4 linked regions of the Nothobranchius furzeri genome follow. The protein of the gene in region 4 interacts with the protein of the main gene of each other region in a pairwise test. Links are inferred from orthologs where the notes say so. Each region holds a gene or a part of one and is shown on either strand. Other genes may lie near its edges. The genes, in order: htt, plk1, ikbkg and tank.

What was found.
Region 1: the proteins of tank (region 4) and htt interact in binary tests that used the Homo sapiens proteins (3 or more experiments, as listed by UniProt). The link is inferred for Nothobranchius furzeri from reciprocal best matches to the Homo sapiens genes TANK and HTT.
Region 2: the proteins of tank (region 4) and plk1 interact in binary tests that used the Homo sapiens proteins (3 or more experiments, as listed by UniProt). The link is inferred for Nothobranchius furzeri from reciprocal best matches to the Homo sapiens genes TANK and PLK1.
Region 3: the proteins of tank (region 4) and ikbkg interact in binary tests that used the Homo sapiens proteins (3 or more experiments, as listed by UniProt). The link is inferred for Nothobranchius furzeri from reciprocal best matches to the Homo sapiens genes TANK and IKBKG.

Annotation. Positions count from the first base shown.
Region 1 is NC_091746.1:25,504,834-25,510,031, reverse strand, and holds part of htt (huntingtin), read right to left. Parts: intron 3,470-5,198; coding exon 3,349-3,469; intron 3,005-3,348; coding exon 2,945-3,004; intron 2,854-2,944; coding exon 2,774-2,853; intron 1,151-2,773; coding exon 1,012-1,150; intron 890-1,011; coding exon 748-889; intron 654-747; coding exon 475-653; intron 404-474; coding exon 199-403; intron 1-198.
Region 2 is NC_091744.1:8,885,542-8,891,451, forward strand, and holds the start of plk1 (serine/threonine-protein kinase PLK1), read left to right. Parts: upstream 1-2,381; 5' UTR 2,382-2,561; coding exon 2,562-2,915; intron 2,916-3,230; coding exon 3,231-3,399; intron 3,400-3,509; coding exon 3,510-3,654; intron 3,655-3,728; coding exon 3,729-3,822; intron 3,823-3,903; coding exon 3,904-4,126; intron 4,127-4,250; coding exon 4,251-4,293; intron 4,294-4,406; coding exon 4,407-4,504; intron 4,505-4,636; coding exon 4,637-4,714; intron 4,715-5,339; coding exon 5,340-5,494; intron 5,495-5,580; coding exon 5,581-5,763; intron 5,764-5,844; coding exon 5,845-5,910. UniProt on the Homo sapiens protein: Serine/threonine-protein kinase that performs several important functions throughout M phase of the cell cycle, including the regulation of centrosome maturation and spindle assembly, the removal of cohesins from chromosome arms, the inactivation of anaphase-promoting complex/cyclosome (APC/C) inhibitors, and the regulation of mitotic exit and cytokinesis.
Region 3 is NC_091755.1:44,541,134-44,546,870, reverse strand, and holds the start of ikbkg (NF-kappa-B essential modulator), read right to left. Parts: upstream 3,596-5,737; 5' UTR 3,571-3,595; intron 3,398-3,570; exon of another isoform or gene 3,073-3,397; intron 1,738-3,072; 5' UTR 1,736-1,737; coding exon 1,597-1,735; intron 1-1,596. Other genes in the region: tmed4 (transmembrane emp24 domain-containing protein 4), read left to right, coding at 3,684-3,873, 4,500-4,600, 4,674-4,799. UniProt on the Homo sapiens protein: Regulatory subunit of the IKK core complex which phosphorylates inhibitors of NF-kappa-B thus leading to the dissociation of the inhibitor/NF-kappa-B complex and ultimately the degradation of the inhibitor.
Region 4 is NC_091754.1:19,405,767-19,411,595, reverse strand, and holds the start of tank (TRAF family member-associated NF-kappa-B activator), read right to left. Parts: upstream 3,257-5,829; 5' UTR 2,991-3,256; coding exon 2,977-2,990; intron 2,490-2,976; coding exon 2,348-2,489; intron 2,226-2,347; coding exon 2,117-2,225; intron 2,010-2,116; coding exon 1,927-2,009; intron 1,348-1,926; coding exon 1,295-1,347; intron 1,183-1,294; coding exon 1,064-1,182; intron 1-1,063.

The sequences.
Region 1 (5,198 bases), on a different chromosome or scaffold from region 4:
GGAAGCAGTATCAGGAGGTGAGAGAGAGACAGAAGCAGCAAAAGCAAAACGAAGACTCACAGAAAAAAAGAGACAATCATTTAGAAACAGACAGAGCCGGGTTAAGGAGCAAAGACGAAGCCGCATCACTCAGCACCAAAGAGATGACGAGCTTTCACCCTGCAGAAACCACCCGGCTCCTTCTACGGCTGACATTACCGATGAGCTCCAGGATGCTTCCCGAGCGAGCGCGGCTCTCCGTGTCCTGGCGAAACACGGTGGCGTGTGGGATGCTGCCGGCTGTGATGAGCATGTGCAGAAGCTCTGGTGGGGGGGTCCTGAACATCTGCTGCAGCAGCTCCAGGGCAGCGGCGACCACGTTGTGGTCCCAGTGCTGCGTGTAGTGCAGGGTCAGCTCGTACACCTTCAGACACGCGCAGCATTGTTCAGCAAACAGCCCCAACGCATGGAAACATTCACCTGACGCACGCTCACCTGCAGCAGCTGTTCAGGTGTTGGCTGCACATCGGCCTCCTTCCTCATGACCCCAAAGCTGCCTTTGAGGCTGGAGGTGTTGACTTGATGCTGCAGCAGAGGCATCAGGTAGCGGAGAGTTAGCAGCACCCCCAGAATCAGGTGGCTCAGGCGCTCGTCGTCTACCGGAACCAGCAGGCCTAGAGAACGATGGAACAGGTGTGTTGTGTTGCCGTTAAACTGGGCGTTACCCTTAAACAGGCGTTACCGAAGCACTCTTCTAGAGTAACCCACCCAGCAGCACGTTAAGGAGCCAGGTGTAGAAGTAGCTGTTGCGTCTCGAGTGCTGGCACACGCTGACGGCCGAGCTGGCTGCCGTACGCCGGATGGTGGGGGAGCTGGACTTCAGGTTGGCAACAAATGACTTCAGCAGCACCTAAAAAAAGACGCTAAATGAAACGATGTGCTTCTAAAGCTGCGGTCTGACCGCACAGACGGATACTTCGCCAAGAGGCCAACACATAACTCTGACAAAACACACAAGTGGGCGGGGCGCACCTTGACTTCGCCGTCGTTGGCGAAATGTCCCAAGGCTGACATGATCTTGGGCACCGCTGCAGCCAGAGTCTCCTGAACCATTTCCTCCTGCCGTTTGGTGATTCTGGTGAGGCATGGGAGCAGGTTGACCAGGTACGGTCTGCAGCGCAGAGAGAAGCACAATCAGGTTGTGATGTATTTGAGTCGGAGACAACACTGAACGTGACTAGTCGCTGCCACGGTGGCTACACGAGGAGTTCTCAGCCACATTTTAACAAAACAAGTTTAGTCGTTAAACAAGTTTTAGGGATTCGACAGAAGAAAAACTACAAATAAAACTCTAAAAACTGGAATCTGGAGAAAAAGTCCATTCATGTAAGTAATTCAGCTCAGACTGAGAGACCATCTAAAGGCTCAGGAACCCTCTGCAGGTGTTCTGGATTCATCAGCTGATTAGACCGTGACACTTAAGAGTCTAGAACATTGAACAATATTCTGATTGCTGGAGATTTTGAATGTGGGGTTTTCATCAGCTGTAACCATTATCATCACAGATGGAACAGATAAAAGCCAAAACATCTGGATTTGCATGAACCGAGTCAGTCTCTGATTAGTTTTACCTTTTAGGTTGTTTTACTGACATAAATTAACTTCTGCACCAGATTCTGATCGTTTCATTTTCACCTGGCTCTCAGCAACGCAGCTTAAATCATCCAGCCCATTGTTTTACGTAAACCTAGAAGACCATGTTTAAAGGTGCATCATGTAGAAATGAAGTAAAAATGACATCCTGTGGTAAAATGTGGTTACTGCAGCCACGTTAAAGAGCAAGTCACCCCCAAATCAACATTTTTTTTCCCGATAAACTATATAAACGTGTGTCTAATCGTGCTGCAGACACGTGTAGTCAATAGTTTTGCACTTTAGTGCATTTTAGTTAAAATTCTAATTTTCTGCCTGAAACTGGCAGTGTTGTGCCGTTGTCAGGTAAAAAGTCTGCACTGCATTTGAATTTAAATCTGCCACTGCTATTGGCTAAGAGGTATGCTATGATGTAAACTGGTACATTATGATGTCACAATGTCGTGAGTGTGTGTATTTGTTAGTGGCTCCACCCTCTCGGTCTGCTAGGCAACAGCATTTGTTGCGCTTTTCAAACATGAAGTGGGAGTGAAGTACGCTTCTTGTAGGGGGTGACTTGCTCTTTAAAATTCAAATGTTCTGCCTAAAACCGTCAGTGTTGTGCCGTTGTCAGGTAAAAACTCTGCACTGCATTTGAATTTAAATCTGCCATCGCTATTGGCTAAGAGGTACCCTAGAATGTTAGCTGGTACCATATGATGTCACAAAGTCGTTGTGAGCCTGTGTGTGTATTTGTTAGCGGCTCCGCCCTCTCGGTCTGCTAGGCAACAGCATTTGTTGCATTTAACAAACAGGAAGTGGGAGCGGAGTAAGACTCTGGTAGGGGGTGACTTGCTCTTTAAACAACTCTGGAGCTTTTTGCCGGCCGTCGTCGGCGCTGCAGCATTAGCTCGGCAACGCCACACTCACTGATGTAAAGCAGTTACGTCCCTCCTTCCTTTGTATTGAAAGGAGAAAATCTGACAATTCCCACAGCCAGCTGGATATGAAACATGTTTCAGTTTAACCTTCCTGCCAACATGACTGAAACAGACTCTTATGGGATTTTCACACTAACATTCTCACTATAATCTTACATACTGCACCTTTAACGTTCAGCCATCTGAATATGACGACATAACAGGAACATTTAGACAGCTACCTGCATTTCTGTGGTCGGATGAGATGAGCGAGCTCAGCAAACCTCCACAAAGCTGCTCTTAGACTCCGAGAGGCACCGTTCTGTTGAGCCGTGAAAAACAAATGACAACGCTTGTCGTTATTTACTAGATCACAAACTAAACTCGGGGTACTGTAGAAACCTGCAAGCGACCTTTTTGATTTCTTTGTACAGCTCCAGCTGCAGTCTGGGCAGGTTTGAGTCCATCAGAGCCTGAAGAGTTAAAACAAGCACTGGTTCAACAACGAAAACAAACAGAAATCCTCACAGAGATCGTTTTATAACAACTAAACTGTTTTCTGTTCATTAAAATCAAAAGTTTCCTTTAATGCAAAAATTAGGAGAAAACCCCTCAAAACTACTTGAGGCGAAGCTTTTCCCTCGACCCCAACTCTCGACGTCTGTGCTGATGGGAAACATGGAGGGCCAGATTTAATGCAAACTGCGACATAAACGCGAGTCTGCCGACAACAAGCCAGTCAGTCAGATAAAAAGTCCAACACCGTCGAATCAAAGCCAACTTTAAAGTGGGAGGAGTCTTGCAGGTTTTTGCTCACTTTGATGATTTTGTTCAGGCACTCGTCAGCTACCATCCGCACATCTGATTCACCGTCGTCGCTGCAGAGAAGGAACATCTCCATGGCGATGCCGAGCAGCTTCTGGAACTCTGGAGATGTTCTGTTTGCAGGATCACACACAGCAAACATCAGGATTGGCATAACACGCCTGAGCCCTTTTCAGATTGGCATTCTGGAACATGTGTGGACAATTCAGTCCGGTTTTTAAGCAGGACTGTGTTTTCAGACACACCACTTTTGTACCTGAACTTGTCCTTTCAGCTGCCTTCACACAGCAGGGAAAAGTTCCAGATGTCTGAGGGGGAGGGGGTGGGAAGGCTGGACCCGGATATTGCGTAAACATGGTGCGGCGGGCGTACATGCGTCATTTACCCAAACAAAGCTATTCATTCAAACATGGCCGACGAAGAGCTAGAATTCCTCTCACTGGTCGGACTTATGTTAAGCATAATTCTGCACACATGAAGACGAGACCTGGATGATGAAGCTCAATGGTTAATAAAGGAATCACGGAAGCGGTGTGAAGCGCTCCGTCTCGCGCCTAGGAGACGGTACCGTAGGAGGCGAGCTGCCATGGATCACCGCAGGCTACAGGAGCGAGCCATCTAGGTGCGCACAGCGCCTCCCGGTCCCCTCCCTGTCCGGAACTCGACCTCACCAGTCTGAAGCAGCTAACCTGTCCGTGACAAGTCCGGTCCTGTTACTAGGGGCTTCGTCCGGTTTAATTACGGAAAAGGTTATCCGGATGTTTGTATTCAGACACAAAGGTCTTAAGGACAGAGTCCCGAACATTTCCGTTTTTCATGGCCTGTCTGAAGGGGGCTCTGGAGACGTAAATCTCATTTTTATGACATGAAAGTCACCGTTAATAGACCCTTTTACTACCTACGTCATCAAAAGTTGCGCGCGCAGCCGGGCAACGAGAGTGAAGGCTTCCTCATTCACACTCGATACTAAAACAGCGTTTTAAACCCTTTGTTTTGAAGTTCTGAGCACATAAAAATGTCGGGTTGTTGCGTGTATATTATTACCAATTAATTAAGAAATAATACATTCAATGTGCAACCACAAACCAGAACTTTAGATTACACTTGTCATTCGTTACATGCCTCTTAGTGTGACACTGCTCCTCCTAACAGTTTCGGAAGCAGCTGGGAGCTTTTATGCTAAACTTCTTCGGTTTGTGGAAACTGATCTTCTTCAGTGGAGCTGGTTCTACATTTTTCCTGCTCAGGTCTTTCCATGCACATGCCTGAGATGTAACTGCAGCCTTTTCTGTTTTTCCCATCCTAACACAAAACTCAACTTTGAATAAAATTGCTGCTGCGTGGCTGCAGCATGACCCAAGTCTGGAACATCAAAATGACAGAATTAAACAAATTTATATGCTTTATTTCATGCTTCAAATTAACATTTCATTCTAATTCATCTGTATTTTCCCACTGCCTATTAGTATAAACTGTATTTCTCTAAAATTAACACGATTGTACTCTGAGCACGCTAAAAAAAGAAACCTATGCTATACTCACCCTGCCATGCAGGTACAGTTGGCTGTGAAGACGTAGTTCTCTGGTTTGTTTACTATGACCCAAGCCTCGTACATAGCAGTCTTGTGTCCTTGTCTTTGGCTAGGAAGGACTTCTGCCTTCAAGACGCAACACTCAGAGTCTATGTCGTGATATTTTACTTTCTGTACGTGGCCACAGACAACACAGTTGTATGCATCTAACGATTTGTATCTCACGTGTGTTCTTACTGGGCCTCTCCACTAAAAACGTATATATATCGGGCCACTGGATATCTGGCCACGCACCTACATCTTCCACCCA
Region 2 (5,910 bases), on a different chromosome or scaffold from region 4:
CCAGTGTTTCAATGTCCTTTATCCACGTACTGCAAGCCATGCATAGAATCAAATTGTCTTTTATATGTTCAGGACATACAGGTGAATCAATACAGTGTTTTTCTCTCATCTTTGTGGTACAGGAAAAACAACATTTAAAAGTAAAAGTATATAAAGATAAGATTATATAGAAATATGAGAAAAGTAAATGTATTGATTTTCATTGACAGTATAAAAGTTTTATTGGAAAGAAAATAGCATGCTGGAAAATAGTGCTGAAGAACAGAGCTGTTGCAGTATGTCAATATTTGTATTTAAGTTGCACCCAGTGACCTTGGGTGTTCTGAAAGGCGCTTTTAAATAAAATGTATTATTATTATTATTATTAAACACGTCTGTTTATAATTTCCCTGAGCTGGAGAAAAAAAGGTAAAAAAAAAAAAGAAATAGATAGTTAATAAGACAATCTGATTATTTTACAATTTACTTAATAGTGAATAAATGAAACTTTAATCCTTTAAGGTCCCAATGAGTATAAAATGAAAAGCTGGAGGAAATTATCACACCATATTTAGTTACATTGGATCTTTAATCCCAACACGGATTAGAATACAAATATCATACACTATTTCTCTTTTCAACAGATCATTTTTCCTGTCCTTGGTCCCTGGCAAACATTACAAACAAATGCATAGTGCTAGCATCATTTGAATATTTAAAACAGTCCCTACAGTCTTTTTAGGTCATTCATTATTATAAAGTGAAAACTAAAAGTTTGCATTCTCCACATAACTTTTAGATTTCACCATCACTTTTGAAGACAGACATTTTGATTAATTTTATTCTATATTTACATATCTTTGGCTGAAATATGTATTCTAAATGTGGCAAGCATGTTGTTCTGATTTAGGAAAAAACATCCTTTGTCCTGGTTTTGCTAACGCTTTACTTTATGTAGGTGAAAAATTAAAGAGCTCACAGCACCCTTGAGATTCCAGTGAGCCAAAACTGTGGAAGAAAAGAAGATGAAACATGGAGGGAGGTAACCTACTCTACTTTCTTTGTGCCCCTCTGCAGAGGACGTTCAGCTCTCTGCAAAATCCTGTGTAATAAACTAAATGTGTGTAAATGTTGACCCATACAAGCACAGACAAGCTTACTTCATTTAGTTTTCCCTACAGCATCTTCTGTGTGTTGCCATGGAAACACATGGCAGCAGAAGAGAAGGATGAATGTGCAAAAATGGAACAGACACATATAAGCCAGCAATCTCCACACATCACCCACCAGTCGGACTAAAGCCTGAAGACCATTTATAAACAAACACACAAAGTGAAAAAACAAAAAACTGTAAAACACACATATTTTAAAGAGTGTGTGCATAGTAAATAGTCCCTATATTAAACATCCCCCCTTATAACAAAGTCAAATCAGCCACTAGCTGTGCACTCTTACTTTTTGTTTTAATAACTATGGGAGGCTTCAACAGAAAATGATTCCCTGGAAAAAGTGTTGTGGACTGAAATTTTTATTTTAAGATGATGTTACCTATTTAATGATTAGACATTTATAAAGTTAATTCTAGACCATCATGACAATAATCTATTTATGATCTCATTATTTACAGCTGTGAATCCGTGCTGTGTCATATGAAGTGCTTATTGTGTGATTGGTCTGAAAAAAGTGCTTTCTCAAGGAACAATAATTGTGAATTTGTCCACTGCTGCCACCCAGTGGAATATGTGTGAAAGTGAATTAAACTATCAATAATGTAATTTTTTGCAACATCATGATTTTCTCAATTTACCTTTTAACTGTAGAAATACACAATTTAATAGTTCTGTGCCGATATCGTTTTTGCAAACATGCTTTTATTACTCAAAACGTTTGTGCATTTCGTCTTATTTTATTTCAATTTTCGTTTTTATTTTGACCACACTGTCGTTTCACTGTTTTATCCAGTTTAATAATATGATTACATGTTAAAATTAAATCCTTCTTGGATTCTGGATGACGATAAAATCAAGTAAAATCTAACACTAGTCTACATTTACCATCAGCCTTTGCGTTAAGGAAACGCAAGACGTCATTGAGCCAATCACGATGTTAGAACTTTATTTCAACCCCGTTGATTGGCTAGTTTTGCATTTTTCTTCCCACAATGCTTTGCGTAGAATTCAAATCAAGTGGACCAATGAGAAAGCGCCGTGGCGACAGAGCGAGCATTTAACTTAATACTAGAAACTGTTTTCGAAGGGCAGAACAGAACACAGGAGACGCCGCCGTCGGACACGTCTGCTGAATTATTCCATGAGGAAAGCAGATTTATTTTAATATTTATGTCTATATATGTCGTTTTATAATTGTAGAACCTAATGTTAATTATCGCTTGCTTTCAGGAAGTCTAAACTCGTGATTAGATTTAAATTCAGACGTGTATGGGAGAAAGTTAGCTAGCTAGGCTAAAGTAACGTCGGTTGTGTTAGGGTTAGTAGTTTGATTCTTGTAGTTTTCACCACGTTTACTGCGCGGAGAGAAAATAAACATTCCTGTAAGTTCATAGAAGACAGCTCTAATACAAAATGAGTGCTGGTACCGCAAAGCCGTTGGAACGTGCGGATCCCAAATCGGCACCTCTCAAAGAAATCCCAGAAATTCTCGTTGATTCCCGAACCATGAAAAGATACACGAGGGGGAGATTCCTCGGGAAGGGTGGTTTCGCCAAATGCTACGAGATCACAGATGTAGAGACGAAGACGGTGTTTGCTGGCAAGATCGTAGCTAAGTATTTGTTACAAAAGCAGCACCAAAGGGATAAGATGACCTCGGAAATCGCCATACACAAGAGTCTGGATCACGCTAACATCGTCGGCTTCCACGGGTTTTTCGAAGACGATGACCATGTGTTTGTGGTCCTGGAGATCTGCAGGAGAAGGGTGAGTACGATGGAAGGAAACCAGCTTTTCAGTGAGGTTTAGAGCCGACGGTTAAACACTGCGACATCTTCCGTTGTCCTCATGTTTAAATAGTGGGAAGCAAGCAGTACCAGACTCATTTAACACCTCACAACTATTTGATCTTTGATAAAAACATCTTAAAAAGAAACTTCTAGCCTATAAATGTGGGTTTATTGGTCCAGTACCACTCTGGTGGCCCCATGTGTACCATATGTTCAATCTTATAATTAAACGCATAAAAGATCACTCTTTTCTTGAGCTGTTGTCTTGACTGTTTAAAATGCTTTATTTCAGTCCTTGCTGGAGCTGCACAAACGCCGCAAGGCTGTGACGGAGCCTGAAGCTCGCTACTACATGGCCCAGCTGCTGAAGGGTGTCCAGTACCTGCACAACAACAAGGTCATCCACAGAGACCTGAAACTGGGCAATATCTTCCTCAACGACGACATGGATGTCAAAATTGGTACTCCACTTGCTTGGACTTGTAGCTTGCACTAGATCTTTTGTTTTTATCACGTCGAGAAGGATTTGAATCAAAGCATGCCTCGTTATTACGTGTTCTCTCTTGTTTAGGGGACTTTGGCTTGGCGACTAAGATCGAGTTTGAAGGCGAACGAAAGAAGACTTTGTGTGGAACGCCCAACTACATAGCACCAGAAGTGCTTTGTAAAAAGGGCCACAGCTATGAGGTCGATGTCTGGTCACTTGGGTGCATATTGTAAGTACAGGCCCACAAACGCAACTCATTTGAAATGTCCCAGCTGTGAAAGCTTCCCTTTTCTGTTCTTTCAGGTACACTCTGTTGGTGGGCAAGCCCCCGTTTGAGACCTCCTGTTTGAAGGACACCTACAGTCGCATCAAGAAGAACAACTACACCATCCCCTGGGTATGAAAATCAAACTGAATGCACCGTTTTCTTTCTAAAATTAAGTTAATAATTGAGTCGTATGATCTGAACAACCTGCAGCACATCACCCCGACTGCGGCGACTCTGATCAAGAAGATGCTGCACGCCGATCCTGCACAGAGGCCAAGCGTTGCTGAAGTGCAGGCCGATGAGTTCTTTACGTCCGGCTACATCCCCCTCCGTCTGCCCACCACGTGTCTTACTGTACCCCCTCGGTTCTCCATCGCCCCCTCCACAACTGCAGAGCTCAGCCAGCGGCGTCCTCTGACTGCTCTAAACAAGGGTAATGGCGATCAAAATGAAAATCTTTGTTTTTATTTTTCCTAGGCAATGATGTTTGAGTTGATCCACATAGATTTTATTAGTCTTGTTTTAGATGTTAACGTTTTTTTTTTCTTTGTTCCCAGTTGGTACGGAGAAAACGGAGGTGAAAGACGAGCCTATGCAAAGGTGTTTTTCATTTATTTATCACATGACAAACATTTTATAAAAATTCTAGTTCTGTTAGTTTTTATCTTTTCTTTGCGTAGATGTTGTTAACCTTTAAATGTGTGTGTGTGCAGGGCGGCTGAACCATCAGAGCCCTACCTGAAAGACATGCTGCAGCAGCTGAACAGCATCATGTCCACCAAACCCTCTGAAAGGGCCGTCATCCAGCAAGGTTAGTGGACGTGTCTCACTTCGTCTTTACCGATCTTGTGGAGTCTCTGTTGCTATTTCTCTGAATTTTGTCAAAACGGATGCGGTTATCTACTTTTTAATCTACATCTAAGGTTTTTTTGTGTAATTCCAGAGGAGGCCGAGGATCCTGCGTGCATCCCCATCTTCTGGATCAGCAAATGGGTCGACTACTCTGATAAATATGGATTAGGTAAATGTTAGGAGACCGTTTGTTTGTTCACATAAGCTGCAATTTTAACTTTGTAAGTTTGGTTTAGACTATTAAAAGTATATACAGGGTATCTGCAGGTCCATAAAAAGTCTTAAATTAGCTTTTCCAAATTTAAGGCCTTAAAAATCCTTAAAAATGACAAATAGTCCTTAAATAGTTTCCAACGGTCTTAAATTACCAAAGACCCAATAAACAAGATTCTTTTATTTCTATAAAATTTTCATGAATTTCTAGTTAGTTTGGCATTTTTTGTGTATGATATTGGCGTAAGCGGAACCGTACACATTCGGTTGGTTGTGAAAGGGGGCTATTTTTAGATGAGCATGCTAGTGGGAGTTTGCACCATGGGGAAGTGCAACATTAATGGTAAATGGATGGCTAATCCCACGTTCACGACCTGGTTAGCACCGGTTCCAGGCAATAGCTGGAAATTATAGCTTAAATTTAATTTAAAAAAAAAAGAAGCTTAAATTTGGTCAAAGTGGCCTTAAAAAAGGTCTTAAAAAGTCTTAAATCTGGCTCCCTTAAACCTGCAGATACCCTGTATAGATGTTATCTGGTACTGTTAAAAGTATCTTTACAGAGTTTTTAATGTCTGTTCCAGGCTACCAGCTCTGCGACAACAGCGTGGGGGTTCTGTTCAACGATTACACCCGGCTCATCATGTACGCTGACGGAGACAGCCTCCAGTACATCGATAAGACTGCAGCTGAGTCCTACCTCAGCGTTCGCTCTTTCCCCGCTACTCTCAACAAAAAGGTCAGACAGTGTTTTTATTTATTTTTTAATTCCATTTTATCCCCTTCAAGGCCATCACAGTGACTTGTATTTCTCTCTGGCTGTAGATTACGCTGCTGAAATACTTCCGTAACTATATGAGCGAGCACCTCCTGAAAGCTGGGGCCAACATGGCGCGGCGGGAGGGAGATGAGCTGGCACGGCTGCCTTACCTCTCCTTGTGGTTTAGGACGAAAAGCGCCATCGTACTGCACCTCAGCAACGGCACAGTTCAGATCAACTTCTTCCAGGTTAGATGGTTAACCCTTTCACTCAACGCGTGATGCTTCACGTGCGCGATCCCTCATCTTCTATCATTATGTGCTTTTCAGGATCACACCAAGCTGATCTTGTGTCCGCTCATGTCGGCGGTGACCTACATCGACGAGAAGCGAGAC
Region 3 (5,737 bases), on a different chromosome or scaffold from region 4:
ATGAACGCTTCACTGACCTCACTTCCCACCTCTCTCAAGCACGCTCAGGTTAAACTGCTGCTAAAAGACCTTCCCTTCCTCCAGATCATGTGGAGAACTACCGAGCTATCTCTCCTCCCATTCCTGTCTAAAATCATTGAAAGGGCGGCCTTCAAGCCGATCTTAGAACACCTGTCACAAAACTGTCTGCTTGACCCTTCTTCTACCAACCCGGGTTAAAAGATGGCCACTCCACTGAAACGGCTCTGTTAGCAGTGACTAACAGCGACTGCCAAATCCTCAGTACTTATCCTGCTTGACCAATCGGCTGCATCGGACACTGTGAACCATGGCTTCCTTTAGTCCACACCCTCTAGCGTGGGCATCACAGGGAAAGCACACTCCTGGTTTGAATCGTACCTGACAGGACCATCATTCAGTGTATCGTGGCTAGGACAGTCTTCTGCTGTTCACCATGTTGCCACAGGAGTCCCCCAGGGCTCTGTACTAGCACCTCTTTGCCATATACACCACCTCACTGGGTGAGATCATTCAATCACATGGCTTCTCCTACCACTACTATGCTGACGACACCCAGCTCTATCCGTCATTCCCGCCGGATGAGCCCACAATTTCCACACACATCTCAGACTGTCTTTCTGACACGTCATGATGGATGAAATCTCACCATCTTGATCCCGACTCTGACCAGAGAATGCTGCTGTTGTGTCCTTGGGCAAGACACTAAACCCCCCTTGCCTGCTGGTGGTGGTCGGAGGAACCGGTGGCGCCTGTGCTCGGCAGCCTCACCTCTGTCAGTGCGCCCCAGGGCAGCTGTGGCTACATCGTAGCTCATCACCACCAGTGTGTGAATGTGTGGGTGACTGATCCGTGTTGAGGAGTAGCTACTCCTGTGATCAGCTGACCTGAGCGAACGAGCGGGCGTGTAGCGATGCAGTAGCTCAGACAGATAGGGAGGGGCCGGGCCATTTAAGCCCTTAAAAGCAAATAAAATCATTTTAAAATCAATCCTAAAATGAACAAGCAGCCAGTGCAGGGAGGCTAAAATGAGGGAAAACCTTTGATTGCCACTTAAAAGGCGAGCTGCAGCACTCAGAACCCTCTGAAGCTGAGCAAGGCAGGATTCACTGACTCCTACCTCAAATGCCAACATACTATTCTGATAGGAAGTGGGTGGTTGATTGTGTCGAGGCTGCTGAGAGGGCTAGTAGAACCAAAACCGCTGCCGATTTAGCATCAGCAGCTAAAGAAATGTTGCTACGGACAGCTAGAAGAGCAGATTCAGAGCTGTGCCGACAACAAGAAGCAGACTGAAAAACTCAAGGATTGGATTGTCATCTAGGAAAGTCTGGAACTGCATAAAAGCAGCATGTGTTGATCCTGATAAACTCAGCCTGTCGTGGACACCGCTCCTGCATCCAATCACCGTTACAGTAAAGGCTGAAATTACTGTTTGAATTTACTTTGTTCTTTTACCTCGATAACTCTAAACTTAAACGACTTCTGAAAATGCTAAATCAGACACACGGAAACCTAAAAGCCCCGCTGAGCATCTGGTAATACACACAAGCGTGACCGTCGTGTGTTTTTAGGTACCTCGAAGCTGCTGGTTGTCACACAACAATCTGGTCACCACTTCATTACCAGCGAACTCTGGTGGGACCCTGAGGACCCCCCCGCAGTCCTCTCCTGACATGTCCCACTGCATCGGACCATCAGGCTGCGGCTGCACCATTCCTGCAGAAGCAAAGGCTGGGAATTACAGAGATCTAATCCATTCACTTCTTCATATGAAGAACTCAGACTCTGGCGGTTCCTGAACCTGTTTCCTGGTTTCCTTTGGAGACTTGTTACACTTTTAGCTCATTTTTTAATAACGTCTAAAATCCAGCCTTCGTGGCATTTATTTAAACGGGCATTGGAGAAACTTTTTTGTTAGTCAAATTAAAACATATTGTGTACGTTGGTAAGAAAGACTAAAAAACCTGTTACCATCAACACTGCAGGTCAGTTCAAACCAGCAGAGGCAGGAACAGTTTGTTTCACCACCAACAGAAAATCATCCCAGAAACTGCAGAGTTCAGTCACTTCTTTACTGCTTTATGACGTCACACCTGTAGTGAGTGAATCTCACCACTGTGGGATTAATAAAGTCTATTCTATTCCTTTTTTTATGTTATTGTGGTCGCTCCGATTGTCATCTAATGCAACAACAGACAAAACAGCAACTTTTGCTGCTTCTGTAGCTCTAGTAAGAAAAAAGTTTCCCCTGGTTCGCTAACTACTTCCTTACTTATAAATATGGTTTCCAATAATCTACACATTGAAGTCAGAAGTAAATTAGAAAAAAGAACAATCAAGCAATTATCTGAGTCTACAGCCGATCGCTTTCAAATGCACAAAAATATCAGAAATACAAATGGTTCTAATTCTAGTTATCACCATGTTCTTATTGTTAAATTCACATTACTATAACATACCAAATGGCTCATAAAGATGAAAAAACAGGAAGTCACAAGGATCTCCTGCATGTATATTTTTCCCTTGTATGAATATTGTCCTTGTTCAATTAAAATTGTTATTATTTGAGAGACAGCAGGCTCAAATCGTGGCTGTGCTGTTTGATTTTAAAATAAGAAGTACATAAATATGTGATTAAAAGAAAAATAAAATGAAAAACGATCCTAAAAGCCACCATGGAACAAGTGAACATTTCAGGTGTAAGTAAGACCTGAGCATGACGTCTAGGGGGACTGGACACGTTTCAGCCCCGTTGGGGATCTGGAAACGTGAAACTTTCACTTTCAGTTTAAATGTGAATTAACTGTGTTTAATATGACCGGTTTGTGTCACGGCTCATTGGCGAGGTGCCAGAAGCCCTTCTGAACAGTTACACCTGAGAACAGGTGGTCATCAACCTCTTCTTATGGGACCTCAGCCTTGTCATTGTCATAAAAGTAAGATCAGGTGTCTGCTATGAAGAACATCACGATAACCTCAGCAAAGCTCACGTTAAATACTGTTTAGACAACATAGCTAACACACAGCTAACAGACACAAAACTTGTCTTACCTTTTTAAATTTTATGTCGTAAACAACAATTATCCAGTCTCAGACTCACAAACTACTCCCTTCACCGAGTTTAAAAGAGCAATCTGACTCAAACAGCTGAGATACAGCTAATTAGCTCAGTAAGCTAATATAGCACAACAACGGCTGGGCAAACGGACGCCTTTGGTTTCACATAAACACGGACCTACATCAACGGATCATGTGGCCTTCCTAAAGCATGTGTCCAGTTTTGAATCCTTTCCTTCGTGAGTTTAAGACTACCAGAGGTAAATCAGAGGCAAACCAAAGGTAAGCTGTCAGCTTTTCGACTGTTATTAGCGTGGAAAAATCGTGATATATCACCCTCAGTTTAGCCTTGTAGGCAGAACACCCGTGACTCGAACATCGAAAAACGTGTCGTTTATTTTAAGACGTTTAATTAACACAAATGAACAATAAAAAAGTTGACAAATTACAAGTGTGTGATCAAATCGAAATGGCTGTGAATTTAAATAATACCAGTGGCACATCGTATCTTTAAGCGCTGCAGAGGAAAACTCTCCTGTCAGTATTAACCCAGGGTGTAAACACTCCGTTCTCAGGAAAGCCCCTTCCTTGTTCCGTAGTGGAAGATGACGTCAGTGCGCTGCAGCATTTTGATGTCCGCTAACGTGAAGGAGGTGAAGATGCTCCCCATCTCTGCCGCAGCGGTTTCTCTTCTGGTGGCCTGGATTTACCCCAGCGGCGCGCTTTATTTCCACATCGGAGAGACGGAGAAAAAATGCTTCATTGAAGAAATTCCAGACGAGACGATGGTGATCGGTGAGCCGGTTAGCTTAACGCAGCTAACTAGCCGTCTTGCTAACAGCTGGTTGTTTAAAGATGCAGCAGATGACACCAATAGTTGTTTATTATTATTATTATTATTATTATTATTAGAGACTCGAGTCAGACAGGAAATTCTGGAGGCTTCAGCTGCGGGTTGTTCACCACTGAGGAGAAATAACGTTTAAATATCTGAAAATTCAGATCATTTAAGGGAAACATTCAACTTTTGGCCATTGATCTTTAGCTTGTTGTTTATTATCAATAAAATAAACATTTTCCTGTTTACGAAGGTATTTCCATCAAACCTAAACAAAAGATCTGTCAAATATCAAAATGAATACACAATCTTTTAAATGCAAAGAGGAGATGGGGTATAAATGTGAATGTTTATTAAATATTTCATTCATTGCTGGGATGATTTTATGAGATAAATACTATTATTACATCCATGTGTCCAATATTCCGTCCTAACACAGGACAGCAGATGTTAAGCTGGTTTATTACTGGCATCCAATTTGTGGATGATCGTGTGTGTGTGTGTGTGTGTGTGTGTGTGTGTGTGTGTGTGTGTGTGTGTGTGTGTGTGTGTGTGTGTGTGTGTGTGTGTGTGTGTGTGACAGGAAAGTACCGGACTCAGCTGTGGGACAAACAAACCACTTCCTTCCTCCCATCCACCCCCGGCCTTGGCATGCATGTAGAGATCAAGGATCCAGACACGAAGGTAAAGCCAGACAGGAAGGTCTGGAGGTTCAGAGCAGAGGTGTAAGTCTGAAGGTGTCTCCTCCACGTTCCAGATCATCCTCTCTCGTCAGTACGGCTCTGACGGACGCTTCACCTTCACCTCTCACACTCCTGGAGAGCATCAGATCTGTTTGCACTCCAACTCCACAAAGATGGCTCTGTTTGCAGGAGGAAAGCTGGTACGGAGACCAGGACCATGGCTTGACTTTTAACGGTTTCACTTTTCCACAGGTTGGGTTAAAAAAACCAAAGTAAATATTGTTTCAGTGTAGAAGTGACACATAAACCTGTCAAAAAAGTGAACGAGTAATAGAAGCAGGGACAAAAACATCAGCAGCAGCTGGAAATGTGTGTGTTCAGTTAGATTTTCCTTAAGAAAGAAGGAATATTTTGGTTTGGTTGCTCCTCCTAAACCGCTGAAGTTTGGGTTTTCAAGCATCAGCTTTTATTTGTGTAGCGCTTTCCATCATCCTCAAGGGCCAAAGAGCTGAACACAGCACAAATAAAACAGAAACAAGACACCAATAAGACTAGGACCAGGTCAGTTAAAACCAGTCACCGAGCAGGTCACTTAAAACCAGTCACCCAACAGGTCAGTTAAAACCAGTCACCGAACGGGTCAGTTAAAACCAGTCACCCAACAGGTCAGTTAAAACCAGTCACCGAACAGGTCAGTTAAAACCAGTTACCAAACAGGTCATTTAAAACCAGTCACCGAGCAGGTCACTTAAAACCAGTCACCCAACAGGTCAGTTAAAACCAGTCACCGAACAGGTCAGTTAAAACCAGTCACCCAACAGGTCAGTTAAAACCAGTCACCGAACAGGTCAGTTAAAACCAGCCACCGAACGGGTCATTTAAAACCAGTCACCGAACGGGTCAGTTAAAACCAGTCACCCAACAGGTCAGTTAAAACCAGTCACCGAACGGGTCAGTTAAAACCAGTCACCGAACGGGTCAGTTAAAACCAGTCACCCAACGGGTCATTTAAAACCAGTCACCGAACAGGTCAGTTAAAACCAGTCACCGAACAGGTCAGTTAAAACCAGTCACCGAACAGGTCAGTTAAAACCAGTCACCGAACAGGTCAGTTAAAACCAGTCGCCGAACAGGTCAT
Region 4 (5,829 bases):
ACTTCAGAAAAACCGAACCAGGACTTTAAAGGTGCCGTTTCTTACGGAATTAATGGAATTTTGCTGCAAAGACAATAAAAAAAGGCCCTAGAGCAGAGGATGCATCACGAGAATGAAGAAGACAAAAGCATTGATTCAAACCGCTGTCAGCCCTTTGCGTACATTTCATTTTTTTTTTTTTTTGCTAAACAAGCATTCGCACATATTCCCACTTTGTCAGCAGAGATTAGATGTTCTCATCATGTCCGACAACAAAGCAGCTCTCCACGAGGTTGTGTGGCGATAAAAGTTTCAGTGAATTACGTTTTATTCCTCTGATTTCTTGTTTTGGTGTGACCAAAAACCCACTGTGTTTCTCACTTCCTGGAACGGCAGCAGCCAGCAGATGTGTTGTGTCACTGTTTTGTTATCACGCATTTCAAATTGTCACCGTTTTTGGTTTCGTTAGTGGACGGAGGGTCAACAGAACGCAAGCAATAACATAACAAAGCAGCGAATTTAACTATCAGCAGTCAAATGTTGCACTTATCAACTCCAGTTAGCGCACAACCTGCTACTGATACTTTCATAGGGCTGTCAAAATTTACATGCATGATATGCACATGTACTAATTAAAGTTTCAAAAGGACACGGTTTAAACTGATTCAACACCGAGGGAAAAAAGATGTCTGCAGCCTTTAGGTCTAAAAGAACTGTAAAGAGATTCACACAAAAAATATAGATTTTTTTTTTCCTTTTCCTGTTGTGCAAGTTGTTAACGTGTTCTTGTTTGTTTTACATGAAACAGATCCTTTTAATTCACATTTTAGAAGATACAAAAACTTGAAAAATAATTTTTAAAAAGGTATTGTAGTTTTGAGTTATTAAAACATCCACTATGTAAAGAAAATATTAACCTGGTTAAATATGCTTTTAAATCTTTTTTCCCCCCAGAGATCAGCCACTGATGTTCTCAGAACAGATATAATTTAAAAACGAACACATATTTATGCAACTTAATAAAGCTTTTCTGCACATTTAAGGAAATTTTGTCAAGGTTGTGCAATACGAAGGTCACTATTACCGTTTGACGCATCGCATCCTCTATGAAATCTTTTCAGGTGATCTTTTTGTCTTCTGGTTAGAGACTGGATCTGTCGAAATCGACCTTGAATTGCTTCAAAAGCCCCCTGCATGTCCTGACTGGCAAATAAATAAAACAAAATGTAAGGGGGGGGTCACATTTTAAATTGTAAAATCAGGATTTGTGGATTTGAAGAGATAATAAAAGAAACAGTCAAGGAGAGACACGTACTAGTCAACGCCGCTGCTGCTGACGGGCAAATTAGGAGCAACGGTGCCCATCTTCTGAAAAAGACACATTAAATTTTTAGTTGTCATTAACAACAATTATCCAAGAGCATGCTGCCGAGACGTGCACACTTTTATTTCATGCATCACAAGTGAAAATGCTTCCTGGTTGGTTGAGACACAAAAAATTCCTTGAAAAGCTGAAGCTGCACTGAGCAGTGATGTTATCCTCTAGCACCATCTGGTGAAGTAAAAGGGGACGCACTGCAGGCCACAGTCTTATGTAAAAATGCTGAAGTCAGCAGAAAAATTAAGACATTGTCTTACTGTTGCTGAAATAATCAAGACAATAATATTATGACTATAATAAGTGCTGCACATATGGAAGAAAACATTACTAAGAACTAATCAAGACCATTAAGGGAAATGCTAAAAAGTACCAGTTTGAATCATGTATTAATATTCTACACTTCTAGATGGGTGCAGGTCTGATTTGTTCCTGTAAGTCCTTTTATATAGCAGCACCAAACTAAAGCAGAAGCTCTGCCAACTTCTACAAATGTGAGAGGAAGCTGCAAGCTACTGGATGCATGTCCTTAATTTCAACGATGAGGTGGAAAGAGCTGTGACTCTTACGCGAGAACACACCGGGGTCTGTGGTGTCCTGTAAGTGCCGGGCCCTTCGAGGAGATGGTTGCAAGGCTCACATTTTATTTCTTCTAGGAATCAAAATGTAGGAAATTAAGAGAGTAAAACAAAATACAAGTGTTTGAAATGTGGTCAAAATCCCAGGATGCGTGCAGAGTAAGAGCGTGTTTGTTCAAACCTGATGTTTGACTCGCTGCAGACAACTTAGCTTCAAGTTCAGAAATCAACCTCTGCTGGTCTTCTATCTGCTTCTGGAGCTCCTGAGTGTATCGCTCATAATATTCAGTCTGTAAACACACAATTTATGCTCAGTTACCCATCAATAAACACAGCTTTAGATGATTTACACAAATTTCTATTGGAAACATAAAGAACCAAATCTGCTTGCAACAATTTAACCCGCAGTTACCATTTTCTGCAGCTCCTTTTTAGCATTGTCCTTTTCGATGGAGACCTTGCGATAAGCTTCGAAAGCTTTGTTGAGCTGGTCTCCAATGTTCCTTTCCATGCCTTGTGCTCCGCGGTCATCACTGACACGGCAGACATGAGCCCTGTAAGTGAAATTTTAAACTATTACAGCCGCTTCTGCAAAAAAATAAATCACAATTCAAACAACTTTTAGGCATGATTTGCATTTACTATCTGCTTAATACTTATATTTTTTTGTTTCATTTTAAATTATGAAAAGAGACTTATATTTTGTACAAATGTTGCTAAATTCTTGTTGAAGTAATGGACTGATGCAATGAGGAAAACTGTATCAGGCTGAATTGAGCAATCATGAAAATACGTTTTTCTTCATGAATATTAAGTCTAGATGAAACAAAAGTTGGATCTAAATGTCAGATATTGATTTTCTTCTTCAGTTTTGAGGACATAAATGCAGATGAGCAGCTAAACCACTAAAAAGTGATGCAAATAATTTATGCTAATAGATTCACTGCTTTTTTAATTTAAATATTAGAGCAAAACAAATGGAGGACCGTGTTTACAGCTGAAACTGATGAGTGATAGTAAAGAAGCTAATGGAAGTCTTACCAGGATCTCTCCATCAATTATTCTCCATTAGAAGTGTCAGCTTAACCAGTAGCTACCAGCTGCTCCTGGATCAGTTACCGTAAGCTAATAAATACGCAGAAACCTTCCAAGAAACCTTTGAGTTTGACTTTTTTGGAGTGTTTCATAGTTCCGTATTATTTGAACTGTAACTATCTGTAATGCCTTCTCCTTCTGATGCTTTCAGCCGGTCAAATCAAAAAAGAACCAGAAGAAAAAGGAAAGAGACTCTCCGCGGATCCGCTCAGCCGGCGCGAGCGCGTCCCTTCTTACCTTCGTTCCAGCTACTCCTTAAAGTCTAATTAATGTCTTGTTGTGACACCACGGCCGCATCGTCGCCTAATCTTCTGATAGAAAGTTACGAAGCGCTACAGAGGATATGGTAATGTGTGTTTTACATAGCCCAGTTTGAGTTGGGAACTTCCCTCGGGGAATCCCCCTGCTCTGTGGACTTCCGCCTTTACCCGAGCCTGACCAATCAGCGGCGAGCTTGGAGGAGTGCAGGGTGGTTAACTGAACTGAGGGTTCTTCCAGCCTACGCGTCTACAAACCGACTGTTGTGCATGTGAAAATTGTCTCCAAAACTTGAGTTTTATGCTTTGTTACTTTCCTTTTTTTTAATTAATACTTCACGCCTACCTGTGCAGGCTTTGCCTAAAGATTTGCGACTGATTTGAATAAACCTTGCAAATCATTTGTTGCAGTGCTGTTGCTATTAAATTCAGGAAACAATAAGAACCTGTGTGCCTTACACATAAAATGATGCAAAACAAGTATGCATCTGCTAATTTACATTATTTTAATAGTTTATATGCAAATTTGCAGCCCATTCAGCCACAGACAGCAAAGTCTGAGGCCTTGCAAACGCAGCCCTGAAAACAGGTAAAATAATACAGGTGCTGGCCAGTAAATTAGAATATCATCAAAAGGTTGAAAATATTTCAGTAATTCCATTCAAAACGTGAAACTTGTACATTATATTCATGCAATGCACACAGACCAATGTATTTCCGATGTTTATTACGTTTAATTTTGATATTTATAGGTGACAACCAATGAAAACATCAAATCTGGTATCTCAGAAAATTAGAATATTCTAAAGGCCAATGAAAAAATGTTTGTTTCTCTAATGTTGGCCAACTGAAAAGAATGAACATGAAAAGAATGTGCATGTATAGCACTCAATACTTAGTCGGGGCTCCTTTTGCCTCAATAACTGCAGTAATGCGGCGTGGCATGGACTCGATCAGTCTGTGGCACTGCTCAGGTGTTATGAGAGCCCAGGTTGCTCTGATAGTCGTCTTCAGCTCCTCTGCATTGTTGGGTCTAGCGTATTGCATCCTCCGCTTCACAATACCCCATAGATTTTCTATGGGGTTAAGGTCAGGCGAGTTTGCTGGCCAATCAAGGACAGGGATACCATGGTCCTTGAACCAGGTGCTGGTGGTTTTGGCACTGTGTGCAGGTGCCAAGTCCTGTTGAAAGGTGAAGTCTGCATCCCCATAAAGTTGGTCAGCAGCAGGAAGCATGAAGTGCTCTAAAACTTCCTGGTAGACGGCTGCATTGACCCTGGACCTCAGGAAACAGAGTGGGCCAACACCGGCAGATGACATGGCACCCCACACCATCACTGACGGTGGAAACTTTACACTGGACCTCATGCAACGTGGATTCTGTGCTTCTCCGCTCTTCCTCCAGACTCTGGGTCCTTGATTTCCAAAGGAAATGCAGAACTTGCTTTCATCAGAAAACATAACTTTGGACCACTCAGCATCAGTCCAGTCCTTTTTGTCCTTGGCCCAGGCGAGACGCTTCTTGCGCTGTTTCTTGTTCAAGAGTGGCTTGACACACGGAATGCGACACCTGAATCCCATGTCTTTCATGAGTCTCCTCGTGGTGGTTCTTGAAGCGCTGACTCCAGCTGCAGTCCACTCTTTGTGGATCTCCCCCACATTTTTGAATGGGTTTGTCGTCACAATTCTCTGCAGGGTGCGGTTATCCCTAGAGCTTGTACACTTTTTTCTACCACATTTTTTCCGTCCCTTCGCCTGTCTGTTAATGTGCTTGGACACAGAGCTCTGCGAACAGCCAGCTTCTTTAGCAATCACCTTTTGTGTCTTGCCCTCCTTGTGCAAGGTGTCAATGATTGTCTTTTGGACAGCTGTTAAGTCAGAAGTCTTCCCCATGATTGTGGTGCCTTCAAAACAAGACTGAGGGACCTTTTAAAGGCCTTTGCAGGTGTTTTGAGTAAATCAGCTGATTAGAGTGGCAGCAGGTGTCTTCTATATTCAGCCTTTTCAGAATATTCTAATTTTTTGAGATACCAAATTTGGAGTTTTCATTAGTTGTCACTTATGAATATCACATTTAAATGTAATGAACATTGGAAATACACTGGTCTGTGTGCATTGCATGAATATAATGTACAAGTTTCATGTTTTGAATGGAATTACTGAAATATTTTCAACCTTTTGATGATATTCTAATTTACTGGCCAGCACCTGTATGTAGCACTCAAAGAACAAAGCAACTTTTTCATGCATTTGCCAACACATATAGCTCCCATCAATATTTTTCATATTTTTTATTGCTATAATTTGTTAACCTTCAACTTTGGTCAGTAGAATTGTTAATTATAACCACATAACTTTTTTAAGTGCTTTAAATGATTGTTGATTTCCTTGATGTATAAACGTTCTTTAGACATGAGACTTGTTGGGCCTGCACAACAAATATGTCAACATGCTGCATCTTTGACCTACTTTTGGTTACCTTTGGGTTGGACAAATAAAGTAAACACTGCAGCACACACAGTACACCATCAGTACATGATTT